Linked DNA regions of Caenorhabditis elegans. The protein of the gene in region 2 interacts with the protein of the main gene of each other region in a pairwise test. Each region holds a gene or a part of one and is shown on either strand. Other genes may lie near its edges.

Region 1 (10,031 bases), on a different chromosome or scaffold from region 2:
AAATATTATCATAAACTGAATAATTTGATGTGTTATTTAGATATTAATAGACATTTTTCGGTCTGAATATAACTCGTGTTTGTATTGAAAACAATTACGAGTTTGACGTAATAGCTCTGAGAACTACGATTTATAGTAAAAATCAGAGCTTAAGCTAAGATTTTTTGCTGGAAATCCAAATTTACTGGCTATAAAAAAAGACGCGGGTCGCGGCGCGAGGCAAGTGGAGGTTGCCTGAAAATTCTGATATTGATGGTACCTAACTTTGCTCTTTAAAAAAATATAATGAAGGTGTTGAAAATTTTGTTTCGTTTATAATTAACTTACATACGTACTAGCTAGTTCCACTATTGATTAGAAAAAAAATCGATAATTTTCAGCTCTTAAACCAAACGAAACTGGATGTATGATTGAAGATCAATGTAAACAAGCATGTGAGAGCACCATCTGTGACAGATCTCAATTTCCATCCCGATGTCTTTGTGAGAAAGGACGACATTTTTTATTCAACAAGTGTTGTGAGTTGGGAAATTGATTTTAAAGATCCCTTGCCAGAATTACAGTATCTAATATACAGTTATCTAAAATTTTGAGGTCAGCGCGGCAATTGCAAGTAACATAAATTTTCTACAATTTTGGAAATTGCCAAAATTGCATAAAAAATATATTTTCTTAAAAAATGCCCACAGCACAAAAAATTTAAACTTTGTAAGGGAGGTTTGAAAATTTTATCTTGAAACTAGTAATATAAGATTAAACCTTTTAAATTTCAAAGTATATTTAAGTTTTTTGAACTTGCGAACGTTAAAATGTCTCAAAATTGATTTTAGGAGGTGCCTTACTAAATTAAAATAGTAAAAAAATTATTCAAAGTTTCATTAATTTTTAAAAAACTATACAACATTTCCGGTCATCTTTCCATTTTTTTCCAGCAACATTTATCCTTAAAGATCCCAAAAAAATATTTTTCACAGGTAAAATTTCCGGGTTATCACTTCCCAATGCTCAACCAACAACCTGCTCTGTCAGATACAAAAGCTTTCAAAAGAGAAGATTAAAGTTGGGGAGGGCAAACGTCACAGATCAGAATTGTATTGGGTGGTAGATTAAGTGTATAGGTGCAGACGTTGTAATGCTATTATAAAGATCAGACATAGAATAGGTTTAAGGTACAAAAAGTGTAATGAAGGGATTATTCCCGTAACATTATTTCAGAGTATACAATTTTGCAACAAAATGTTTTCTAGGAATCCTCTCAAAGTGCCCGTAAAACGTCGGCTGCAACAAAAAACCCCCGCGATTTCAAAAATTTCATTCATTTTCCTGTCATTTGCGTAAAAAGCCGACAAACTTTAGGTAACCTTTCCCTGGCATTTCAACAAATATTATCAGCTGTCGTGAAAATTTCAGTGATCTTCTGCAGCTATAATTAATTCAATAGGTGATTTAGTATTCTTACCACATTTCTTTTTCACCTTAAAATAATTTCCAATTATCTTTGAACTAAAATTTATACTAGAAACTTGTGTTCAAAGTTGACGCTTTTGGCCAACCCGTGACGTCACACAGAACAGTTTGAGGCGAACCCTAACATTTTGAAAACTTTAATATTAAAAGGAAATAATGTCCCGATTGTTCTTGCACGGACGTTTCGCGGGTTCCGCGGTTCAACCAAGTTCAGCACAGTCCAGAACAGAAACTTTGCGCGTAAATTATGATACAGTAGGTCAATGCCCCTTAAAACGTGTGACGTCACACACTTCTATTTGAGGGGACACATGCCTTCTTCACTTCGAAAAACCTTCAAATTTCAGGGAAGAAGTGCCCAGACTTTGCTCATCCGGAGCCCATCATTGACGACCGTGGATTCAGCCGCTGCGAGCTGAAAACCGATCTGAAAACCGCGTTCCAGTACATGAGACGTAACAAACGACAAATGCGAAATAATTTTTGTTAAGCTTCAGACCTTTTTCTCCAGGAATTGCTCTCTAAACTTCAGTATACCCCTTCCCCACAGTATTCTTGTCCCTCTCTCTCCGGTGCTTTGTAATAAAATGAAACAATGTAAAAATATATAATTTATGGTTTTCTTTTTCTATACAATAATTTCAAGAAATATCAGTTAAAATAAATAAACTCTGAAAATTGAAACAAAACAAAATTGATATTCGGGGATTGGAATTCACACAAAAACTAGAGGCTTTTCATAAAATAAAAACCGAATGGGGGGACAAATTCTGAGAGATTTGAGGTTCAAGGAGCAAAAATTGTTGGGAAAGTACCGGTAACAAGTTATTTGAAATTTTTCTGGAAGTGATTTTTTGTTTGAGACAGTAGTGGGGAAACAAAATAAATTAGAAATCTTTGCGATATGCAATTCAATGGGGCTAGCGATTTTGAAAAATATATTAATTTTAAATTTTTAAAATTTTAAACATTTAAAAAATTTTAAAAGGCAGCCGGGCCCATTTGGAAGTTAAAAAGTGAACTTCCAGATGGGGCAACTGGGCTTCCACAAGCTGGCGGTGCATCCGTAGATCGTAATGGAGCACGTGTAAGATTGATAAGGAACATGAACTCTTCTGGAAGCTGGTGTGATGGATAGAGAATGTCCAGGGCCTGGAGTCCAAGAGCATGGAATACATCGAATTCTTGGGTCTGAAAATTGAATAGTTAGTGTTATACTAGACATCCTACTTGCATGTCAGTCTGGAATACTTGCTCTCAGTGCAACCCTCAATAAAAAATAAAAATTTTGCTTCCTGGCAGACATGGATTAGCATTAGAAGCGTGCAAATTTTGCCCTCAAAGCGTGTTACAAGGCTTCCCCGCTAGATTCTACGTCACACGTTGAAAATGACAAACTTACCAATCTAACGATCTTGGCCAATTTGTTCTGAGATCCGCTGCAATGATCCTTGAGAGCATTGATGATGGTACTTTGAACCTGGTCGACGAGAGGTTTGTTGGTCAATCCAAGTACGTTATGTTCTGAAAAAATTTTGAAATTATGAAATGAGGAGTAGATAAACTTTGCTGAAGCTTTTTAGGGTTTAAATTCTACACACCTGTGTTTCCAGCCAAAAATTGAAGAGCAATAAAGGCGGCGAATGCCTGAGGCTCCCAGTCAACCAATGAGCTGAAGGTTCGTGCTTTGTCAACCATGAATCGAATGATTTGTTGGAAGCAGGCAGGGAACGCGTTCAACGAGAAAAGCTCTCCAGACTCGAACATAATTGTGTCGGTGCTGTTGCCACATCGGTTTGCCACGCGGATTGCCATGATTGCGAAGAAAGATCTGCTGAGGAGGATCTGGAAGTCGGCTGGCTGAATCTCGGAAATTTGTGGCATTGCCATGAGAAGCTTCTTGGTGGCATGAAGCTCTCCGTGCAGGATTCTCAGTGCGATAGTCTCATCGAATGGTTGCATCTAAATGATAAACATTTTCCAAAAGAAATGCTAAATTTCCGACTTACAAATTGCCGGACAACAGTCATATTTGTATGATCTTCAATTGCTTTTCCCATCAAAGCTAGAAGAGGAAGCGGTGGAGATGGTTGATCCTCTGATCTTGCCAACTTCGTCTTTGACGACAAACGTCCACGTCTCCCCGATAGAGAACCATGTCGAACAACTGAAATATCACAAATAATGAACATTTCCCAAAGGGTACACCTACTTTCTTTGACCATGCCGACTTCCAAACACTTTTGATAGCGACAGTACTGGCACCGACTACGGTATCGCTTGTCGATTGGGCAGGTCTTGTTACCAGCGCAAGTGTATTTGGAGTTCTTCTGCACAGTTCGCTTGAAGAATCCTTTGCATCCTTCGCAAGTTCTGGCTCCATAGTGCAGGCAAACAGCTCGATCATTGCACACAGCGCACATTTTGTCAGCGTCAAGAGCTGTTTCCGATGGGACACCGAATGAGGTTGGTGTGGAGAGGTTGTCGGGGTTGAGGAAGGATCTGAAAGTTTTCTTTTTTTTTTAATTTCAAATTTAAAATATCAAATTTCAAATTTCAAAAACGAACCTTAAGAAGCCTTGCAACTGCGGGGGTGACGTTGGCAGAGAGCTTGAATGAGGCGATGGTGTTCCGCCGGTATTGTTCGACGAGCTCGTTGTCCCCTGACTTCCACGCCTGGAATCCGATACCGGAAAGTGTTGAGGATAGAATGGAGATGTGAATGAAGGCATCAAGGGATTCGGCATGAAATCATTCGAAAGTCTGTAAGAAGAAACAATAGAAATCCTCTCGTGGAAGCACCAGCTTATGCTCTCAATGGAGGTTAATCCTCGGCTCGATGTACTACGTAGAAAACACGAAGCAAAAGTAATTCACACGTGGTTATCTGTGACGACACTTACGCGAATGGATTGTAATGCGGTGCGGCGGTTGCCAGGAAAAGATCGTTGTGTGGCATTTGAAATGCTTGCATAGTTGGGTCAAGTTCACTTTTGATATGGGTGATTGAGGCGTTCATTTCGGATGGTAAACGGTGACTGGAGGAGGATGGTTTCTGAAATTATTAAAAGTTTATAATTGTGTGCAGAATGAAGCTCTTACCTGCTCGAATTCTTCGGGGATACTCTCGACTTCGGTTTTCGTGGGCTTTGGTACAGTGTTCACCTGATCGCTTGTCTCCTGCAAACTTTCAATTTCAGACTTTATAAAGCCCATAAGTCCGCTAAGATCATCTCCGAGCCTGACCACAGGCTTGTCAATTTTGCTAGCTGTCCGTTTGCTCATCATAACTGTAGGGTGCAGGGGGGAAGTAAGTATGAATATATGAAAAGTGCGCTTCTATCAAACAGCTGATTAGGCGGCTGCCCAGGAAAATTTCAAGGGGCGGAGTCCAGAGCCCTGAGCATTAGCTGCGACAAAAGAGCATACACGAGGAATTATGTCAGTCCACGCCCCGAGACCACCTAAGAGTGATGACGACGTCGCTGACAGAAGCCAAAAAAGAATGAGAGGTGACACTTTGAGGATATAATAGAAACAGGTTTCCCAGAGAGACCATCAAATCAAAATCGAAAGTAAAGAGTTTTCGAGATGGATGAAAGGAAGAAGAAAGACGACAAATTGCGGGGTGTTTCATGCCAAATTTTGGTGTGGACACAGAGGACTGAAGGGGGAGCCAAATGGCACGTGTATCTATCAATTAGCCGGATGATAGTGGGTGTATGTGTTTGAGCAAAACTGAAGGTTAAGCCAGCATTTAAATATTTTTCGGGTTTTCGGACTGTTTATGTGAGGAAGTTAAGAGTTTTTTTGGAGCAGAAAACAAGAAAAGAGCTATGAGAGCTAAACTTTTTGTACTCTTCTCTGGTCTAAAATGACGCAGAGCCTGTGGGCTGAAAATATTTGTTGTAGTCCTCGAAAAATTACCGCCTACATGGCTAAGCAAACTAGAAATAAAGAAATTATCTCGAGAGCTCCAAAAACGTTCTAAAGCCTTAAAAATGCAGGGCGATTTTATTGAGAAATGCTAAAAATGGGTCAAAAATATCAAAAATCATACTTGTTGAAAAGGCCATTTTCGAGCATTTTTTCCAATGGTTCAAGTGGGCAAAATCTGATTTTCAGATAAATCAATATGCATATATTCCTGATTTTGACAGTAATTTTCAATGAAAAGTTGGGTCTAAATTCAGAAACTCGGAGCCATTTTTGTGGGGGGCTACTCTAGTTTTTTTTTTGGGATTTTTGATACATTTTTTTACATTTCTAGACTCTCATAAATTTTGAGCAGTGGGAAAAATTAGAATTTTTTTAAAAAGTTTCTAGAATTCAAATTTTTTAGAGGTTGAAACATTGATTTTGAGTGAAAAAAAATAGTCGACTTCCAAAAACTTCTAAACAACTTGCCAAATTTTCTAAAATGGTCTACTTTTTACAGTAGCCAAAAAAGAAAGCAGCAACATCAAAAGAAACACTACTAATAAATGAATGACATTTTGGTACAAGTGACTTGTTAGCATTAGGGGTCCCACCCCTGCTGCTACTGTCTCTATGACTAATGGCAAATACCATTGCGCCAACACCCAAAAAAAAAGAAAGAGAAAGACTACTACTAGTTGGGTGGAAAAGTTGTAGAATGAATTTGAAACGAGAAATATTTCTCTCCAACCAACACCACTCGTGGCTCTCTCTACAAGTGATCTCACCTATCCAATTATCTTTCTAATAAGCGGGCACGAAATGTGTTGGGAAAGTGCAGGGTGATTCGACAGGAAACAATGACTGTGTTGAGAGGGGATGCCAAGTTTGAAATGAAGTGGGAAACGAGGAGTCGGGTGATATTATTCACATGTTCCCACTCACACCTTTTTTTACCGCCGGAAAAAAGTTCAAAAAAATTATAGCTCAGAAAAGGATTATACCAATTTTCTCCCACAGATTTGAAAAAAAAGGTTTCATGGGAATCTTAAAAAAGTTCTTGGAAAAAGAGCTCACCACAAGAGAATGGAAAAGGCTGTCGAGGTCGGCATCGGTGGTTTTGGAGCCTTTGCGAGACGAGGAAGATGGTCCAAACTCTCCTGAAACCAATAATTAGGAAGAAATGGAAATTTTGTGAATTACCGTAGTCGAATGATGAGGAGCACGAAGAGTTTTTCGACATCTCGCGGAAGAAGTCCCTTCGCAGAGGTTCTTCGTTACGCACGAGGCGTGTGTAGATTTCGATCTTAAAAAATAAAATTTAAATTAAAGTTTTTGCCAGATTTTGTAATATCTCATTTTCCGTTGTTTCTGGGCACATGATTTTTGAGTTTTCTGTTTTTTTGGGATTGTGCAATTTTTGTATTTTTTTTTCTATAATTCTTAAGCCCAAGCCTAATCCTAAGCCGAATCCTAAGCATAAGCCCAATCTTGTTTAGGCTTCCAGAAGATGAGAATAAGAATACTTACTTCGTCCTCCACGCTGGAGCAGGATGAGTAGCTACTATCGACAGAAGCTGGCGAGCAGTTGGAAAACTGAAAATTTACCACATATAGAATTTACCACATATCTTTTCCACCGAACTTTAACAGTTTTTCTGGTACACCTGCCAGTTCGCCTACTCAAAAAAAAAAAGAAATAGGTTAGGGTACCTGATCTTGCAACTCGTCCGTTTGAATACTAAGTTGTTCCATTCAGTCGGACAGACCGCGCATCCGATTAATGAGCGGTCGATATAAGGAGTTGTAAGATTTGAATGAAGAAAGATGAAGAAGAAGTGAGAGAAGAGCTCTAGTAGTGGTCAATCTGAAAATGTTCAGAATTTTAACGAATTTTCAGATTGGGTGAGTGGGAGAGAGAGAGAGACGATCGGGAATTATATAGTGTCAAACAATTGAGAAGGCGGAGTAGCAGCTCGTGGCGCGTCATCAGAAGCACCTAAAAATGCACATGTGCAGGTGATTTGACACTGTGACAACTGATCGAGCAGCAACACTAAAAAAGTCAACAACATGTGTTCTTGCCCGTCTTGAATGGAATATTCACCTGCCCGCGCCTTGATTATCTACGTAATTTCAGGAAAGGAATTTTGACGACACCACCGGGCCGGCTAAAATTAGAAGTGGTCACTCTAAAAGCAGAATCAGCCTTTTTTTCATTGTTTCCAATTCTGTGAGCTCAGAGTTTAGCGATCGAATCGCTTCGATATACTATGTAGGTCAGCTCTCAAAATCAATGAGGAGATCCCAATGTACAGGTGAGTGGTTACTGTAACAGTTAACTTCTATGCCTGCTGCCGTGCCTACAACTGACCTACGGCTACTGTTATCTGCATTAGGGGAGTTGAAGGCACGCAGGTAGGCATAGGTACTTGCAAACCCATCAGTTAGCATCTATGTCTAGAGCTAATTAATCTCTGAGCTAGTTTGTGACTTCATCACAGGTGCAAGATATTTTGTACGTAGACAATTTAAATCCAAAAATGCATGCAGAGTGGGAAGTGTGAAAAGGTCGGAAAATTGCGTCAGCTGCTGCTCTAGACAATGGAAAAAAAGGAAAAAATAGAAAGTATGTGCACCGGTGAAATTATTTAGTCATTTCAAGGGCATTTTCATGATAAGGAGAGTTGTTCGGTAAATTGGGTGCTACGCAAAAACTAATGCAAAAGTGAAAAATATTTTTTGCATAAATGATCTACAGAAAAATTATCTTTCCGGAACAGTCGGAACAATAAATTTCTACGACTAAATGAGCATTATTATATACCAGAAACCGTAAAGGGAACTTATGATATCACTTCCTCCCGCCCATCTCACGACACATCATAACTGATCTGAACAATGGATCATTTTCCGAAAAACATACAAACCTCCGGGGGGATGTTCTAATTGGTTTGTCTATCTAGTTCTAGCTCCTGTGAGTAACAAGGCGTATCAGAAAACATATTTGGAAAAATATGCTAAATAGTAGGAAGGAAGCTGTAAATTACAAGAAAAACGTACATGTTGAGAAAAAATTTTGCGGTTTGTGGGAGCATTAGGAAATCTTTCGCAATGCACTGTTGCATAAGACTGTAGATAAAATTTGAGTTAGGAAATTTTTTTCGAGGAATCGGTTTTTGAGAGAAATGAGGGGCGTTAATTCTAAAAAATGTCCTATTGCACCAGGTGCAATGAGACCAAAATATTTTGATTTGATTATTTGATTAATTTGAAAATAGCATTTATTTGAGCTAAAACATTTGAATAAATGCTCAAAATAGCCTAGAAGTTGTCAATTGCTAGACAATTCGATAATGGATGAATGGCAATTTCCAGGTTATTTTTGAGAATTTTCTAATATGTTTCAGCTAAAATATTTGTTATTTTCGAATAATCAGGTACATCATTTTCTATAGTTTACACTAATTTTAAACGAAAAAAGTTAGATGGGGCAATTTTGTAGACCTATCCTTTGCTCTCATACTTTTTGGAAGCAGGCTCGCTAACCCCCAAATGTATTATAAAATTAGAAATTTTTCGCCAAGAAGGTCAAGAAAAACTGACTCAAAATCTGAAAACCTCCGCTTTAAAACGGTTTTCGTCCCATTTCCCCACCCCTTTTACCTACGAAACAAATAAAATAAAGTGACGTGATGAAGTGCTTGTAAAAAGCAAGAAACCACTGATAAACGCTTGTACGGAGACGAATGATAACACGATCAAAGACACACAATGCACCGGGAGTCTGTAGATAGTTTACTCCAAAGCGTGAAGCTCTATCAGAGATCAAAGCCACTAGGTTCGAGAGACGGCGAAGGCGACGGTGCATGTGTCTCATAAGTGAGTAATAGCTCAGAACTAAGTCATTGTTCCAGCTCTAGTGACTAATTTTGATACTGTCCAGCACTCTGACGTAAACATCGCCCACACTCGGTGACGAAGTGCTTCTTATCAATGAAACTGAAGTATGTAGGAATCTACAGGAAACAGTTGACCCCCCCAATTCATATGTCATTGTGTAGTTTGAACTGGACTGTGGAAGGTGAGTTGAACGTTTTGATCTATTGATAAGAGATGAGTTATAGTTATAGACCTCCTGGGTGCAGCAAGTAGTCAACAACTTGTAAATCTTGGTTTGATCTACGAGAATTGTGGGAATCTCTAGAGTGTCACTTTTTTTTTTGAGAGAAAACACCGCATTTTTTGTAGATCAAACCGTAATGAGACAGCCTGACATCACGTGGTAAATTAGCTGCTAACTCGAATTAGAATTTAAAAATCAAAAAGAAGCATGCTAAATGAACGCACATCAGTGTTCCATGAATTACCGCAGGGCCCTATAGACTAGTAAAAACTATTTGTTAGATTATTTTCAGAATGCTAGGTCAAAACTTGGCCACACTGAAAGTGCGGCACTTTCGTGAAATTCCCTCCTATTTGGGCTTTCGTAAGGGGATTAAAACATCTAAAGAATTACACTACTAGTCTGCCTTTAATTTTAGCTGAGAAATCTATAACTTTAGTTTATACCTAGAATTTGGCACAAAACACACCTCAACTGAATGCATTCATCGAGACTGTTTCAAAACTACGTTTCATGACAT
Region 2 (6,262 bases):
TTGGTTTCTAAATCTAACTCGAGGTCCAAAAAATTCTTAGGCAGCGCTGCCTAAGAATTGCCGGCATCAATAATTAGAAACGTTTGAAGTTAAGGTTTTGCCGCTAATGCCTAACGAGACCCAGCTTTTGGGAGAGGAGCGTTATAATTTAGCCTTGGAGCGCAATTCCACCTCGATTTAAAACATGCATTTTTCTGCGTCTCCATAATATATGGAAAACTGTGAGCTCACTCCAAAGGAACTCATTTTTTAAAAGCTCTTTTCTAGTGGAAACGAGACAATAGGTGCTAAATTTTCAATTGTAAATCCTGGTTTTCTCTGTGCACTTTAAAATTCGAAACTTTATCAACTACATTTTCAATATGAAACGAAAAAATTTGTTAAATTTGGAGCCTGTAGCGGTTACTGTAACTGAGATCGTGGCGAGACCCAATGGGAAAAAGGCGGCGCCAGAAAATCGCAATGCAATAATAAATTATAAAAATTCGCATGCTGAATCACATTCAAGTAAATTCTTAATTCCAGGCAGGTCTTGCTGCACTCGATATGCCAATAACCATCGAAGACGCCAACGATTTCGAGAAAATGAGTGAAGTCATCGCATCACAAAAACCAAACTGGGAACCTGGAACTAAATCTGGATATCATGCAATTACTTACGGATGGATCGTTGATCAAATCGTTCGACGCTCCGATCCGAAAGGTCGATCAGTTGGACGATTCTTCAAAGAAGAAGTCGCCGATGTTCACGGAATCGACTTTCATATTGGATTACCGCCAAGCGAAGAGCATACCGTATCCCGTCTTTCAATGCCGTCCACACTTCATCTCGTTCGGGAGATTGTTCATGATCCACGTGTTCTGATTGTACTTGCAGTTTTTAATCTTCGACCACCAAATTCTATTGCAAGAAAGATTGCTGCAAATCCAACGTGGTTCAAGTTGGAACAGGATGTGAACACCTTTAATAATCCAACTCTACATGCTATGGAGCAAGTCGCTGCTCTTGGTATTACAAAGTCAAGAGATTTAGCTAGACTTTTCTCACTCGTACAACAAGGAAAACTGTTCTCTACTGAACTTCTAGAAAAGTTCCGTGCCCCCCAAGTTCAGGGGATTGATGAAGTTGTCATGACTCCTCTACCAAAAGGACATGGTTTCCTATACGAGAGACATCCAATGGGAGGGGTGAGCATCGTTTTAATAAATATAATAATAAATCAATTATTTTTTCAGAAAAAGTGGCTTGTTGGACATCCTGGTTACGGTGGCAGCACAGTAATGATGGATTTGGAAGATGGGATCACGATTGCCTACGTCTCGAATGGATTGAAAACTGGAATGGGAGAGCTTACGAGAACATACAGACATCTTCGAGATTCTGTATTTGAGTGCTTGGAGAAACAGAAGACTGGTCAAAGTGTGATGATCGAGGAAGCAGTTCAAGCAGTTGCCGCATAACTTAAAAAATTGTTGTTATCCTTGTTTGTACATAGCGCCATAATTTGGGACGGGTCTACTGCCCCCAGCGAATTGTGCATAAACATGTTTCTGGTTTGTCTGAATTTGTATTGAGAAAAATGGGTAATACCGGGAAACCGAAAAATAATGAACAGAAAAAGTTAAAAAAAAACATCCGGGTGCAAAAAGTTCTTCTTGAAGTCGGTGAGTCGGTTTGAAGTACAATAAAATGACTCGCCGAGCGCAAGAAGTTTACCAGGGCAGAAAGAAGAGAGCTGATAATAAATTAAAAATGTGAATAAATACACGAGAATGATTCAATCGTCCATGTCGTCCTCGTCAAGCTTGGCAATAGCCCATTCCTCGGCAGCAGTGACAACCTCGCTTGGAACTTCTTCGTACTTTCCGTTCGTCTGCTCACCGACCCATCCCATTTCGATTTGAACGTTTTTATCCTTGTTCTCGTCACGCACCACCATAATGATTCGAGCAGCTTCCTTCACGAGTTGATTCACATCCAGCTCCTCGATCTTCAGCTTCTCAATCTCAGCTTTTGCGGCTTGGCGATGTTTTCCGACAGCCCATGCCTTGTATTCATAGTTTAGACCTGATGGCTCCACAAGGAAAAGACGTCCTCCAGTTTGTTTGTTCCATGACATGAAGAAGGCTCCTGCTCCAAACGGACGACTAATGCCGAGAGTGTGAATGTGAATGTACTCAGCAACTGAGTTAGCAATATTCTGAATCGGCATTGGCTCACGGTAGTCTTTGAGCCACTTCATTGCTTCTCCGTAAGCATAGTTCTTCAGAGCGAAACCATCTGGATAGTTTCCAGCAACTGCGACACCAACATTGTCGTTCACGTTAAACATTCTTGGATTAGCGTTCTGAAAATTATAGATAAAATCTTGAAAATCTCTTAAATTACTCACATCAGTGTAAAGTTTGGAAGAGATCAGCTTGTCAGCAACGACCACAACTCCGTTCTTGCCACGAATTGCAATCATTGTTCCTGCATTGTCGACAGCCTTTTGAGCGTACTCGACTGAAAACGAGATTATGAGTATTTTGAACAAAGCAAAATCGAAACAAACCTTGGAAAATTCTGCCATCAGGAGAAAAAGTAGAGGCGGCGAGATCGTAGCCGGTACCGATTGAACTCATTCTGCAAAATAAAAACTATGTTAACACATATATGATTGCAACTGGTACGTGTTTTATTTCTGCGGAAATCAGAAGAACCGTTAAAATTTAATATTTAATAATTCGTTTATTTGAATGCGTTAAAAATAGTAGAATTATTGCGAAAATAAAAGCTGATAATCTGAAAATGGCAGCTAAATGGAAATAAAATTTCAAATGATGATTTTCCAATGTCGATTTACGGGAGAGACGAACATTGCGGCAGGTCTCGCAACGACGAAGAAGAGAGTGTGTAAATTGAGAGACGTCAGAAGACAACATGCGCCTTTAACATTTTCTTTTCATTTTTCTTTACTTTTTCGTAACTTTTTGTTACTATTTTGAAGCTGTGCAATTTGTTTCCAAAGTAAAAATCGCTTAAACCTCACATAAAATTGTCTTGTGTTTATTACTCCTTTTAATATGCGTGTCTTTCAGAGAAATCTCGCGGGTAAAAATGGTGAAACTCGACGACAAAAATAAAAAATTCAAAGGGAAGAAGAAGGTTAAAAATGTGTTGGAGAAAAAGGCAAAAGGATTAAAACTCAACAAAGTAGACAGAAAGCGAATTGTTAAGGTTTGTTAAATTACTTCATTTTGTAAATAATTTTTTGTGAAATATTTCAGATTGAAGAAAAAGCAGCGTTAAAAAGCAAAGTAGACAAAGCTGTGAAGGACGAGTTGGAAAGGTTGAAAAAGTCATCTTCAACATCAGTTTTTGATAATGATGGGACTCGTGACTCTTTGTGCTCGGAGTCTTCGTTCGGAAGCCAGCCAGCACCGAAAAAGAAATCGAAAAAAGTGCTTTTCTCAGGAGAACTTGAACATGTTAAGGTTTTCGATAAGCGAGTTCAGGATCTTCAAATCAAACCATCAGAGGCATCTCCAGGAAGAGGAATTCTCAGATCCCCTCTTGATAAGAAGGTTAAGGTTTGTTAATTCAATATATCGTCTTTTACACAATTGTTTTTTTTCAGAAACTTGCCAAAGTGAAGACTGTCAAAGTTGCTCAGGAAGAAGAAGAAGAGCATTCCGCTCCCCCAAAGAAAAAAGTGAAGGTTAATGCAGAGAAAGCCGTTGCTTCTGAGCCAGCAGACGATGAAAATTTGGAATCTGTCGACGAACAAGCAGGTGGAGATGAATCTCATATTGACATTCCAACTCTAAAGAGAAAGAGAGTAGCTATTCAAGTCACAAAGTCTGTTAAAGAACAATTGCTGAATATGCCGAGAAAAGAAAGAAAAGCATTTTTGAAGGAGTTGAAATTGAAGAGAAAACCTGAAGGAGCTCGTGCTCAAAAATGCAAGGAACTTTGGGAAAAGATCAGAATGGGAAAGACGCCAAAAGCTGAAAAGGATACTGCGGTTCACGAGTTGTATGGTCTTGTAAAAGGACACGCTGCCAAGCTGATCTATGCTCACGACACCAGCAGAGTTATCGAATGTCTTGTTGCCACTGAAAGAGAAGGAATCATTAACAACTGTAAGTTTTTTGAAGGTTCCCATGAATAATTACGAGAACATAATTATTGCAGTGTTCAACGAATTAACCCCAGAAATAGTGAGGATGTCAAAGAACGTCTATTCCAAATTTTTCGTCAAGAAAATGTTGAAGAATGGAACTAAAGAACAACGTGATATTATCATTAATGCATTCCGCGGACATGCTCCAACCCTGCTCAGAATCAAACATGCTGCCGAAGTTCTTGAATATGCTTACAATGACTTCGCTAATGCCCATCAGCGTTACAACATCATTACTGAATTTTATGGAAAAGAATTCATTTTGTTCAGAGTAAACAACATTCAATTAAGCTCTAAAAATAGTTTGTTGATTTCAGGAAGACAATATCAGATCTCTGACGGAGATTCTCGCTGAAAAGCCGGAAAAGAAGGTTGTGATTTTGAAGCATTTGGACGAGGTTATTGGAGCAGTGAATGAAAAAGAAACTTTGCGACTTTCAATTCTGCACAAACTTATGCTCGACTTTTTCGATAATTGCGACGAGGAAAAGAAAATCAATCTCCTTGATTCACTGAAAGATAAAATTCCCGAGTTCATTCATACTCCAGATGGTGCCAAATTGGCTATTAAACTCATTTGGTTTGCTCCAGTCAAGGAAAGAAAATTGATCGTCAAGAATTTCAAGGATTTGTCAGTAAAAGCCGCAATGGAACATTACGGACATCGTGTTCTTCTTGCACTTTTTGATACTGTCGACGATACTGTTCTTCTCAATAAGGTTATTGTCTCCGAGTTGGCAAATGAAATGAAGAAGTTGATCGAAGATGATTGGGGAGAGAAAGTTATCCACTATTTGGTGCATCCAAGAGATGGAAGAGGAATCGACAAAAGAGAAATTACATTCCTTGCCGAAGGTGATAGCAATCCACACTCGAAGAAAACTCAAAAGGATAGATATGGACAGTTGTACGCCGGTATTACCGAGAACTTGTATCCTTATTTGGCTGCTAACTTCGAAGAGCTTGTTTTCGAGGCCAACAAGTCAAAATTCGTGGCTGCATGTCTCGAAACCACCTGTAAGTTTAAAAGTTGCACAATTATAAAGAATTCGAGTTTTTTTCAGCAAGCTTCGATTTGTTCGATCGACAAGTCCCAGCAGAAGCTCGCAAGAGTTGCAACCAAGCGATCGTTGAATTGGCGAAGAAGGACTTTGTACCAATGGACCAGGAAGGCTTCCACATTATTGAACACCAATCGGGCAATTTCATTCTCATGGCAGTCATGCGCTGTGATGCCGCTCTACAAGAAGATGAACGTTTGTCAGTTGCATTGGCAGAAGGACTTACGAGCAAGCAGCTTGGCTCGTGGGTGACTTGCAATCGCGGTTGCCATGTTCTCTTGAAAATGCTTCAAGTTGGAGGACCGAAAGTTATTGAAAAATTGAAGGCTTCGATCAGCAGAAAACACTTGGATGGCTATAACTCAAAAGGAGCAAATCTTCTGAAGGCACAGCTCGACGGAAATGTCAAGAAGTGAGAATGCAAGGTATACGAATTAATTTTTGTTGATTTTATTTGTTTTGAGGGATTCGTCCTATACATCTCTAAATACCACACCTTTTTATTGTTCTCGTTATTTTGTTGTTGACTTTTTTTTTATTACTTTTTGCATCTCGTTAATTTTTTGAAACACCGTACGGTAATAAAAAGGAAAAATATAAAAAAAACGTTGTAAAAACACAGAATTGAGATCATAATAACAGTGTGCAATTATAATTTTAGATTATTGATTCATTAACAATTTTCTCGATATCCTCGCTTCGGTCGACATTTACGACAACGGTGATTTTTGGCATTTTGTTATGGAGATCCGCCAGCTTAGTGAGAAAATTCGATGCAGCTTCGCCATGTCCACGAGAATAGCTTTTCAGACCAACAATTATTTTTTCATATGCTACAGCTTCTTCCAACTGCTCCAGAGCGACAAAGTATCGATCACGATCACCATCGAGCAGATCAACTATCATTATTAAGCCTTAATCTTTCAGTTTTCAGATGACGCAACAATTATCGAAAAACTCACGCAATCCTTCAGAATAAATCGTAAGATCTTCAGTTCTGTCAATGATTTCTAAAAAGTCGCAATTATAACGAAG

What was found.
Region 1: the proteins of pas-7 (region 2) and nhr-6 interact in a two-hybrid assay, tested with the Caenorhabditis elegans proteins (2 studies listed by BioGRID).

The regions. Positions count from the first base shown.
Region 1 is NC_003281.10:3,570,808-3,580,838, reverse strand, and holds nhr-6 (Nuclear hormone receptor family member nhr-6), read right to left. Parts: upstream 7,259-10,031; 5' UTR 7,141-7,258; coding exon 7,099-7,140; intron 6,989-7,098; exon of another isoform or gene 6,982-6,988; coding exon 6,916-6,981; intron 6,692-6,915; coding exon 6,589-6,691; intron 6,546-6,588; coding exon 6,463-6,545; intron 4,648-6,462; coding exon 4,570-4,647; intron 4,523-4,569; coding exon 4,371-4,522; intron 4,231-4,370; coding exon 4,036-4,230; intron 3,970-4,035; coding exon 3,680-3,969; intron 3,635-3,679; coding exon 3,477-3,634; intron 3,430-3,476; coding exon 3,069-3,429; intron 2,992-3,068; coding exon 2,870-2,991; intron 2,659-2,869; coding exon 2,449-2,658; 3' UTR 2,068-2,448; downstream 1-2,067. Other genes in the region: C48D5.3 (TIL domain-containing protein), read left to right, coding at 381-518, 1,815-1,957. UniProt on the Caenorhabditis elegans protein: Transcriptional activator that induces gene expression by binding to the NGFI-B response element (NBRE) 5'-AAAGGTCA-3'. Required for proper morphogenesis of the spermatheca and the spermatheca-uterine valve formation.
Region 2 is NC_003280.10:10,097,229-10,103,490, forward strand, and holds pas-7 (Proteasome subunit alpha type-3), read right to left. Parts: upstream 2,627-6,262; 5' UTR 2,626-2,626; coding exon 2,556-2,625; intron 2,507-2,555; coding exon 2,394-2,506; intron 2,349-2,393; coding exon 1,779-2,348; 3' UTR 1,554-1,778; downstream 1-1,553. Other genes in the region: lact-2 (Beta-lactamase domain-containing protein 2), read left to right, coding at 526-1,188, 1,237-1,461; puf-12 (Pumilio domain-containing protein 12), read left to right, coding at 3,101-3,220, 3,271-3,573, 3,621-4,125, 4,178-4,437, 4,484-5,183, 5,231-5,643; putative RING finger protein ZK945.4, read right to left, coding at 5,885-6,141, 6,190-6,262.